Linked DNA regions of Oryzias latipes. The protein of the gene in region 2 interacts with the protein of the main gene of each other region in a pairwise test. Links are inferred from orthologs where the notes say so. Each region holds a gene or a part of one and is shown on either strand. Other genes may lie near its edges.

Region 1 (5,961 bases), on a different chromosome or scaffold from region 2:
TTTAGTCTTCTGACCGTTTAAAACCTGATTTTGGATGAAGGTGAAGCTCCCACCTCTCCTCCTCGTAGATGGGCACCCGGGTGTAGCCGCTCTGCATGATCTCCGACATGGTGGAGAAGTCCAGGACGGCCGAGCTGGGCAGCATGAAGCAGTCCTTCAGCGGCGTCAGGATGTCCTCCACCGTCTTGGTGCGCAGCATCCCGTGGCTGAACTCCTCCTTCACGAACTCGCTGCACACAGAGCATTTCAACCACAGACTCCGTCACGTCAGGAGCCTCAGGGAGACTCCGGCTCCTCTAGATCAGAGTTTTTCAACCTTTTTTGAGCCACGGCACACTTTAACCTGGACAAAAATCCCGCGGAACACCAGCATCCAAAAATTGGAAGAAAAAAAAAGGAGAAACTCATAGTCTGTATTGATCTACAGCCCCTCCATGATCTCACTCACATTTTTGTGATAATTGTGGCAGAAAAAGATAGAAGCTGCAGCTGTTTTTTCTAAAAGATGTAATAAAAGTGAAGTTAAAAGAAAACTGTTGGATGTGTTCGTTGTGGTTACAAGACGTTAAGAGGAGAGACTCATTGTGCGCTGAGACGCTGTCACTTTAACCCAATGCATCATGGGAGATGTAGTAATGGAAGACAGATTCTCGTCTCTGAGCTTCATGGTGTTGTTCACTTGTTCCACGGTCTGACACTGGATTCTGTGGAAAGCTACACCACTAAAGACGAACTTTAGCTGGTATTTTAGTTGGAACTGAGAGACGTTATGAGCAGAATCTGAACAAGGAAGTGAAGACTTTAACCACTTCTGATTGGTCAGACTGATGACGTGTGATTAAGCCTCCAAGAATGATTGGTGGAGACAGTTAAAGGGGCGGGACTTTTCAGAAAACAGCTGACGCTACGGCTAAATCGCAGTACCATCATTCTTATCAAAATGTCTTCAATAGAATCAAATAAGCACAGAGAAAAAAGTATTTTATGATCTTTCGTATTCCTAACTACTCAGTGTTTTATCAGGGTTTTTTGGATGAACACAGAGCTGATATCCTGGAGATGGGAAATGTTTTTAGATCAGCGAATGGGTCATTTCCCATGACACACTAGTGTGCCGCGGCACACCGGTTGAAAAACACTGCTCTAGAGTGTTCCCAGTTTCCTGATCGGATCTGGAGCGCCAAGCATGAAACCGATGGCGTGGAGCACACCTTCAGGCGAGATGCACCCCCAAAGAGGTTCACAGGAATGCCAAAAGATCTCACAATCCTGAAGATGTGAAAAGTCATCAGCAGAGAACTTCTCTGAGGACATCGGTTCCGTTCTGAAGGATCTGGGTTCCATCAGAACCGAAGACACCGTCTGAAGTGGATCCAGATTCTGCTGAAGATCCCAGAGGAGCTGGAATTAAATGTACAGCTCTGTCTTTTCTCTGAAACAGTTCCAGATTTTCCTGCTGCTTCTAGAATGTACTCAACTAAAATGAAGGCGGAGCATCGGTTATTAAGCTCCTCCTCTGTGGAAGCCACTTCTGTCTTCAGGACTAGACCTAAACTATCTTTAAGGCTGCATTCAAACTAGAAACTTTCCCGTTTCGAACCAAAGCTTGTAAAGAAAACCACATGACTAAAGATCTCTTCAGTCATTGGTCAGGAATTTTGAAGGCGGGGCAAAGCAACTACAGACAGAAATGATGGCCGTCCTGTTCTTTGCAGTCTTGTCAGGACAGTTCACCGATTCAAACTTTACAACTTGAACGTCTGTATCAAGGTCAGGTTGAACCCTTTTTGCTGTGGTACGATGGAGGCGTGCTGCACGGTGGTTACTATGGAGACGTCGGGAATGAAGGTTCACTGATTCATGTTCATGACATATAGAAAAACAGCGAGAAGTAATGTGGATCACGTTAAAAGATGTTCTAATCCAAACCGCATTTCAATGAGTTGCTGTGTCTCATCGTCATGGTTACTACGTTCTTATGATGTTTTTTTGGCCTCCAACTCCAGTGCCGATAACGGTTCTGGTTTTGCTGGAGGGTCACCCCTCCTCACGGTCGCCCAGAGCGTCCTGATCAGCGGCCGGGTGACCTGGTCTCAGAATTCGGACCTCAAATGGGATCCGGTTTACCTGTAGGGGTCGTTGACGCTGGTACGGACCATCTCCAAGACCCGCTCGCTGATGCAGTTGGTGCTGATGTCCCTCTGCAGGCCCAGGTCCAGGATCAGCCCCAGGGGGCAGGACAGAGGGCAGGTGAGCACCATGCACACCTGGGCCAGCCAGGTCAGGCCGGGCGCCAGCTGGAAACCGTACCCCGAGCAGAGGATGTGAGGGGCCAGCTCGGCCAGGAGGAAGATGAGGAAGCCCCCGGTGAAGGCGGCGGAGGCGATGCAGCCCAGAGCCCGGTACAGCAGCACCCCCACAACCGAGTGTCCCAGCACGCACAGGAACAGCAGCGAGCACGCCTGCGCAGAAGAGGCGGGTTGAGCGAAGGCCAACAGACCAGCATCTTCCTCACCAACCCCCACACACACTCACCAGGAAGTTCCCCCTCCTCCGGACCGGCTCCAGCCGCTTGGCGGCCCGCTTCTCCTCCTCGGAGCCGCAGCTGTGCAGCACGTACAACTCCACAGGGTCGAGCCCCAGCAGGCTGAGGTGCAGCGTCCTCAGCAGCGCGCAGAGCAGAAGCAGCAGCGCGACGAGCAGCGCCAGACCCCACGGCGGTATGGAACCCGCGGCCGCGCCGGGGATCACCCGCAGTCTGTCCGGGGTCACGGACGCCCACGTCTCCCCGCTGCGCGCGCACAGGTGGTAGAAGGTGTCCCCGCCCGCGGGGATACTCCGGTTCGCCGTGACCGTCAGGACCCCGCTGTGGACCTCGTCCTGGCTGAACTCCTCCGTCACCCTGAAGGCGGACTCCAGCCGGCTGCTGTCGGAACCGCACGGGTCCTCGGCGGTTCCGAACCCCGCCGCGAACGCGACCAACGTCCCGTTTCCATTCAGGTTGGCCCCGAAGAGGCGAAGCTGGAACGAAGCTCCTTCAGGCACCGAGATGATCCGGTCTTTGATGCTCACCGCTCCCGTGGGGTCTTCCACCCGCAGCCCCAGAATGTGGGGGTCCTCGCCGCCGCAGGTGCCGCGCCTGACCCCGCAGAACCACAGCATCAACAGAAACCGTTGAGCCAGGCTGGCCACCATATTGGAATGGGTCAACACGGCCCTGTGCGAATCACGTGACTTCAACTTCAAAGCGGCCCGCCCATCTCAGCAGTGAAACTGAGCGGCGCAGCGGCCATGTTGGCTCCGGTAGCTGTGCTTCGGTGGGGGAACGGCGTCCATTTTGGATCTGGATTCGCAATGTTTTTGTTTTGGAAAGCCCTCCCCCCCGCCCACCCTGTGACGTAGCAGAAGCTCCCATCCATCTGTGTTCGACAAAAACAAGCCTCCGCTGCGGACGCCTCCTCCAGCCAATCAGAGCGCGAAGAAGCCGGACAGGGAAGGGGCGGGAAGTGTGGGCGGGAGAAGAGCCCTCGCGCTTGCTGAGACTCAGCGCTTGCTAAACCGTGAAGAACATTTTTGACACGTCCGAACACGCGGGCCTCTGCTCTCTGTCTACGCAAAGAAGCTCAGCCAAAGTCACCTCACTCTCTGCCTCAGCTTTCTCTACAAGTTATAACCAAAAATGTATCAGAAAGTGTTTTTTCCTCCACTATTCCACGCTTTCTAGTCGAGATTCAAATGTAACTTTATTTATAGGGGCCTTTCAAGTTGTACATCAACTTAAAGTGCTTTACTTAATAATTAATCAACAATCCACCACACATCCACATTAATAAACAAAAACGATAAAAGCAGTCCATGAAATTGATTGAAGTCCCACTCTGGTCAATTTCTGATCTATTGTAAAATGTTCCCAGTGGTCATTTAATTGTGATTATGCTGTATATAGCAAACAAATCTGTGGTTTTCTAGGACATAGTTTCTGCAGAGCGGCAGGAGTTCATTAGAAATTCACTTCTGAGTTGTGGGCGGGGCTGTTGGCAAGAAGGAACCCTGCCTCCTTCCCCTCCCTGTACCTGAGAGCTCTCGGATTACACACTCCTATAACCCATCCTACCAGCAACCCAACAGCTGTGCAACCAAAATGCAGAGCAATATTGGAGCCAGTTTTGATCCAGATGCCAGCAAGAAAAGCCGAGACCCACATAGAATTATTTGTCTGCATCAGAATGGGGCGGAGCAGGGAACTTGTGGCCCCACCCAGCGTATTTTCTATGTCACAGATAGTATCTGTATCTCTATACTATACTATCTACCTACATTTTTCCGCCTGCTCCTGATTTACAATGATTTGAAGAAAGAAATACAGTTTTGAGCTAAATTTTCTTTATCCATGCCCTCCATCATCGGAAAAGAACACGATTAAAACGCCATAAACACAATTTCATCAGAATGGGTCTTTAAAAATCTAAAACAAACTTAAATGGCGTAACTTATATGCCGCATTGCCATCTCCTCAAGGCCCAAGGAGCCTTAAAGTCACATTCCCATTCACCCATTGATAGCAGCTCCGCTGTCGAACAATGGTGCCAACCTACGACCACCAGCAGGAACGTATGGTTTAGTGTCTTCCCCAGGGACACTGATGATGGGCGGTCAGGGTGGGACCTGAACCTGCGATCAGAGGTAGACCGCTCTACATCTGCACCCAGTAGCGGTTTTAAGTATGGGCAATTGCCCGGAGCGCAAATTTAACCCTTGTGCTATCCTAGATAATGCCATTATTTATTAACTATTGGAGACATTTTATTACGTGTCTTTATTTTCCATATAAAATGTATTTTTTACGTCTGCCTGTGGTTTAGTTGGTGTCAGTATTTAATATAAAGACAGAACGTAATGCAGACAGCAAAAAAGCTGCACTTTTTGAGATGATAAAGAAACAACGGATCAGTTGTTTATTATTAGCTTTGAGGTGTTTTGGAGGATTTTTACTGTTGGTGTTGCACAGAATTAGGAAAATATCAAATATTTTTGAAGTAATCCCACTGATGAGTTCTATGATTTAGTTTGTAGTGTTTTATAAGACTTAAAAATGATATTCCCAATTACAGGTTTTTAGAAAAAATCAAATTCCTCTGATCCTTTTCATAAAGACACACAGGACGTCACATCACCCACCAAGCAGAAATGAACTCATTGCTAAAAATGATGCCAGGAGTCCAGCTCTAAAAAAAATGGACAAAAGAGCAAAGAAAACGGAATAAATGGATTTGTTATTTCTTCTTATTAATATTTCCAGGCTTTGTTTGTTTTTTTCTGCAGAATTTTCCTATTTGTATAATTTTGATTGAATATATCTTTATGGGGAGCAAAATATTATACGTTACATAAGTTTTAACTTGATTTATTCTGGATTGATTGATATGCCTGTTTTTATTTATATTCAAAAAGATACATTTTAAATAATATAATAAATAAAAAATAGAATATAATAAATAAACTTGCAGTTCCTCATAAATAGGAGGCGGTGCCCTCCTGTTTATGAGGAACAGCAAGTTTGTTATTTATTCCATGTGTTGATTACACTAAATAAGAAGAGCAGGGGGGTATTCCATAAGGCCCGTTTAAACTACCCTGACTTTAACCCTGAACTCTGGCTGAAATCCGCCTGAACTTGCTTACCCTGGGTATGTCGGTTCCAAAAGACCGGATATGAGTTGGCATAATTACGCTCCACTTGGTAACCCTGGGTTAATGCACGTGCACAGCAGGTACATAAAGACATTCTCAATGGATCGCAGATTTCCAGAGTCACCATGGAAACGCCTGAAGAAAAAAAGAGAGCGCTATACTTCAGTGAGACGGAGTCTGAGATTTAAATGACGGCGTATGAAGATTATACGACCATCAAAAAGTAATACGGCTGCATCATCAGCAAAAGAAAGTAAACACGTACGTTTC
Region 2 (5,386 bases):
ATTCCTCAGTTCGACCTGTACCTGAGGTGACATTTTCATCTTTGACAAAGTCTCAAACAACTTTAAGTTCTTTGCTTTAGCATTTTGTAGCATACATGTGTTAATTGGGCACTCCATAAACTAAATTATTAACTTTCTGGTTAATAAAAGAAACTTGGTTGCGGTTCATGCAATCAATGCAGCAGCTTTGCTCGCTCCAGAAGAAAAATCTTACACAGAAACAAGTCTTTTCATAAAAACGACCTGAGGCAGCCTTTGATAGCCCGTGTTACCTTCCTGTGTGCTGGAAAGTAAAAAAATAAGGATGAAGGTGGGATGGGACTAGAGCAAAGGGAAGCTCTATAGGTTGCTGTTGCAATCACGGCACAGGATCCTGTCGCCATTTGGGAAGAAACCAGCACCCACAAGTGAGACGGAGCACTGAGAGCAGGTGAAACATGATTGATGCCACTGACGATCCTCAAACGAGATGTACTTCCCTCCACCGAAACCTGAAGCAGAAAAACAAAGCTCAGTATAGGAATGAGTCTTAATAGAATAAAATGAGGTGGACTGGCGTTGCAGACAAATCATAAAAAGAATGGAGTGGGTTTGAAAAATATTACAAACATATTGCCTTGGATGAAGTGTACCACAGAAAACTCCTTTAACTAGATTTACCCACATTACAGGCTTGTCATTGGTTAACTGATGGAATTTCTTTAGGCTTTCACATTTAGTCTACAGAAAAAAGAAAAGAAAAAGCACTAATTGTATTATGTCCTGTTCTTCAGTACAGGACAAAAGTACTTAAGTACAGGACACTCCAATGAAAATTGTATTTTTGAAGTTTTTAACATGTTCTTGTGGGATTTTGTGATGATAGAGGACATATATAAAGACAAGTCTTTCTCATCATTTGTATTAATTCAAATCATTGCTAATCAGGAGCAGACAAAAATGCTGTTGGAAAAAGCTTGCAGGTCCTTTGATTGGTGGGCCACAAGCTCACTGCTCCGATCCATTCTGATGCATCCACTTGCAGACAAATTAATCCATGTACTTCTTTGTTTTCCTCATCCGAGCTGACTAAAAACGATCATCATAATTAAAAGACCGAAAGCAATACTTTTACAATGGATCAAAAGATGATTTGAGTGAGATTTTAACTTAATTTCTTTGTATTAAGCTTTATTCAATTTGTAGTCCTGTATTCTGATGGGTATCCTCTTGTTGGTAGCACACAGCATACAACTATTGCATTTTCAATGTGGAATTAAATTCTTCAAATTGGGATTTTTGATCATGTTGCATTTTACCCACCAGTGACAACTGGAAACAAAGTCAACCCCATCTGTGCATTTTGACTTTTTTATGTGATGACTATTCTGGGAACAGTAATAGTCAATACCAGCTCTTCAACAGAACAATGCAATCCCCCTCATTACTTAACCAAAGGTGAGTTCTATCACCTAAACATTGAATTCCTGGAAAGTATAGACTCAGCTTTACATACAAGTCATACAGACATGTTCACGTGTTCGTCCTGCACAGACAGGGTACCTGTCCATCAAGTACTAATATTTCTCTATCAAAATTGGGACATGTGCAACAATCACTTTAGATCCAAAAATTACCTGTTTTCAAACAACAACTTGCATTTTAGAAAAAATAAATAAAAAGGAGATTTTGGTCATAGACAGTTTTATCTGCCTTCACCTGACCTGGCTTAATTATTCCCACTCTTACACTGGCAATGGTATTTGTTGCAACATTTATATTTTACCTTCCAATTTTTTTGCTCTTTGGTCTTTTTTTATATTTGAACACTAGCCAAAGCATAATGACTAGGTAAAAAAAAAGCAAAATAAAAAAACATTAAAAAAATCTTAGAAAATGTTGCATTTGGGAAAAATGTCCAAGCATTTGACTTTTGTATTCAAAAAATTATGTGTCTTGCTGCAAAAAAACTTTTCCTGGACAGAAGGAGGTCAAAGGCGTAAGTTGTCCATATTTGTTCCTTCAAATTAATAGTGATAGACGTGAAATTAAATTCCCATCTGAAATTGTTAAAACTTGTCATAAAAAAATAAAGCTGGCATGTGGCATGAATTGTGATTATAGTAGTTTCTCTGTGTCTGATTGCTAAAATAAACGGTCAAGTCAGACTGGAATTTGAGTGTCTTTTCTTCTTGTAGCCTACAGAAATAACACAAGTGCTAATAGAGATGGCACAATGGAGAGCAGAAGGAACAGAACGTAAACAAAGAGGTCTATCACTGAAGAGCGCCTTTCTGCACCGCTGCCAGATTCCTAAAATAACAATCTGAGCCTGTCAGCTGTCATTTAACTAACTTGTTAAAATAATACAGTTAAAGGCAACCTGTATAAAGGCTTTTCCAACTGACAACTTTTGTCTAAAGTAAATAAACACATTTCTGCTCTGCACATATGTAGTCTCTGTAAGCAACATGCATTATTGTTAGAAAAAAAACACTTTTACTATGAAGGATTTGATGTTACAAAGATGTGATGTAAAAAGAAATGGCTAAGAAAACTAGAATGCTAATGCACACTACAACTTACTTCTAAAACAAAAACCATAAAATCTTACCTGTAATCGGTTTGCAGCAGGCCTCACATTTCTTGGCATATAGGCTGCTGAAACACTTGAGGCAGTAAGGGCTTTCATCTCTGGAGGTGAAGTGCTGACCAGCTAGCTGGGTCTCACAGCTGGTGCAGACAAAACACTCCTTGTGCCAAGGCTCATCCCGATAGGTCACACCACCTTTAGACAAAGCCTTTAAGGAAAAGGAAAATCACAAAATAAGTTTTTCATCTTCTATTTTTTAAATCTGACCAATGTCATTAACTGCAAAACTGCACTAGAAGGGTCTTTTAAAAAAAAATCAATTTGAATTCCTGTATACATATAAATTAACAATCTGACCTTTTTACAGCGCGTGCACCGTGGAGCAAACTTGTCCTCATAACAAGGTACGCAGTAATGCTCGTCTTTGTCAGGGATGAAGGACTTGGAGCCAATAGGCTGTTCACAGCTGTGGCAGATGAAGCAGCCCTCGTGCCATGTAGAGCCAGCATATTCCAGCTTTCTTGTACCTGTGTATGCATGAGAAGACATTTTTAATAAGAAGCACAAACACATAAAAATAAAATGGTATAATGTTATAAATATCAGAGATGTGTCTAATAAGGTTAAGTTCAACCTTAAAAAAAGGAACATTAACGTTTGAATTCCCCTATCTAACTGATTCTTTTATTGACTTATATCATTTACATATGGTAACCATTCTTAAATATGTAATGGAGAATATGTTTTTTCCGATTGGTTTAAGAAATGGTAAACAATTTTTTTACAAAACCATTTTCAGATCAAAAACACTAAATTCTCTTTATAAATTCTACCAGACCGTAGCACAAGACTCACTGTGTTAGGCAAGCCAACAATAAAAGGGAATAAACTGGAATGTAAAATGAATTCCTTGTTCAGTGTAGTGGCAGGGGCTGTGATAAATAAACTCCTGTAAGCTTAAAAAACACAATACCAACACCAAAAGCAAAATTTACTTTAGTTTTTTTATTGAACCTTTGAACAGACATTACCCTGTCAACAGTATTTAAGGATGGCTTTAAACTTAAACTTTCCTATTTGTAGGTTTGTGAATATTTTAAAATGTAAAAAATCTATGATTGAGTGAACTAAATAATGACAGATAACACCATTATTTTTCCCCATAGGAGTCAATAAAGTGAACAAGAGCTGAGCGTTCGGCTGAGCAATGTGAGGATTTTTTGGAGCTTCATCTGTTGAACTTTTCATGGAGGATTCTTATGTACCTCATGTGAAGTAACTTTGCTTATTTTAAGATAAATCTGGGCAACGGTCATTGTAATCTGCTCAGTCAAACTATATTTATTTAACAGTCAGATCTAGAATCCATGACGGAGAATTTGGAAGTAAAGCATATCTCTTATCCGTTGCCATCAATGGTTTTGTGAGCCGCACACCAGCTCTTGGGATTTGACTTCAATGCAGCAGTTTGAGCAAAGGCACATTCACCTGTGGGTGCTGCTCAGCTCGGGACCCTCGTCTTCACCCCTCTCACCCCTTTTATTCTACAACTTCTTCCTCTTTTGTGTCTGCCTGATTGCTTACCTTATCAGTTTCATTGTTCCTAGCTTCCTGTTGTTTGCAGAGCCATCAACTTTTCAAGTCATTTGCTTATTTTCAACTTTTAAATATCACGTGGCAGAAGAGACATAACAGTAAGGGTTGAGCAATGCACCTCACAGTAAAAGTTATTTGAAGATTAATTTTGCCATCCAAAATTTTAATAGATTTAGGATGTATATAGTTTATAGTTATAGTATATAGTTTTTTTTAAATAAAATCCTGAGGTTTACTTTAATAAATCATGAGAGTATTTAAAAGAACAAATATTTTGTATTTAAAAAATCTATGATTAAGACAAAATATACCGGTAGGTTTACTCCAATAAAGTAGTCATCCATCATTTTTACCTGGCATGACTATCTTGTCACAGGCTACACACTTGGAGGAAAATTCATTGCAGTAGCAGTCATTGCACAGCAAAGCATTATCTTGGCTGGTAAATGGCTCATCAGCCAACGAGCGATCGCAGCGGAAACAGCGGAAGCAGTGCTCGTGGTAATGCCTGTCCTCGTAGAAGAGCTCCTGGCAGCAGAACATGGAGAGGAAATATTAGTGAAAGTTATTTTATATGCAGCTCCATGAAAAGAAAGTCCCATTTCCAACACTTTTTTAAACTAAAGCTTATAACAAGAACCCACAACCTTTTTCACATTAGACACTTTTTGAATCAGAAATAACTTCAAATTACCAAATGTTCACAAAATTCACAACAGTGATCAGATCAATACTCCAGAACATTTAACATAGTGTCGAGATTAAGGTTTACAAAAGAAAAGTACAGAGGCAGTGTGTGAAAGACAAAGGAATGTCATTCTAAACACATAGGTTTCTCTCTGGAATACTCACCTTCTGCAAAAAAATAAAATAAATTATAAAATAGTAAAAAAAAAAACTAACATAGTTGGACCAATATACATATATTTAATGCATGTTACATGTGAATATATGAACAAAAAAAGCTAACATTTTAAAAGGCATTTGGCAAATTTTGATCCACGGTGACTCACAAAACGAGTGTCCAGCTGATCCGCATGTCTTCCTGTTTTTGCGTCACTGCCATCGTTATCGCAGCTTAAAAACTCTGTTTAGGGAAATCTGGCCTGACCCTGACCATAACCAAAAACGCCACTGTGGCTGACACTCATGCACAAATACTTATTAGCGGCACACAAATAACATTTGTGGGACACAACTGTCGCAATTGCACACAGC

What was found.
Region 1: the proteins of fhl3 (region 2) and cnnm3 interact in binary tests that used the Homo sapiens proteins (3 or more experiments, as listed by UniProt). The two-hybrid records come from large-scale screens. The link is inferred for Oryzias latipes from reciprocal best matches to the Homo sapiens genes FHL3 and CNNM3.

Annotation. Positions count from the first base shown.
Region 1 is NC_019870.2:1,781,236-1,787,196, reverse strand, and holds the start of cnnm3 (metal transporter CNNM3), read right to left. Parts: upstream 3,546-5,961; 5' UTR 3,196-3,545; coding exon 2,536-3,195; intron 2,463-2,535; coding exon 2,128-2,462; intron 231-2,127; coding exon 54-230; intron 1-53. UniProt on the Homo sapiens protein: Probable metal transporter.
Region 2 is NC_019874.2:23,687,236-23,692,621, forward strand, and holds part of fhl3 (four and a half LIM domains protein 3), read right to left. Parts: intron 4,697-5,386; coding exon 4,522-4,696; intron 3,100-4,521; coding exon 2,930-3,099; intron 2,781-2,929; coding exon 2,594-2,780; intron 492-2,593; coding exon 340-491; 3' UTR 1-339. UniProt on the Homo sapiens protein: Recruited by SOX15 to FOXK1 promoters where it acts as a transcriptional coactivator of FOXK1.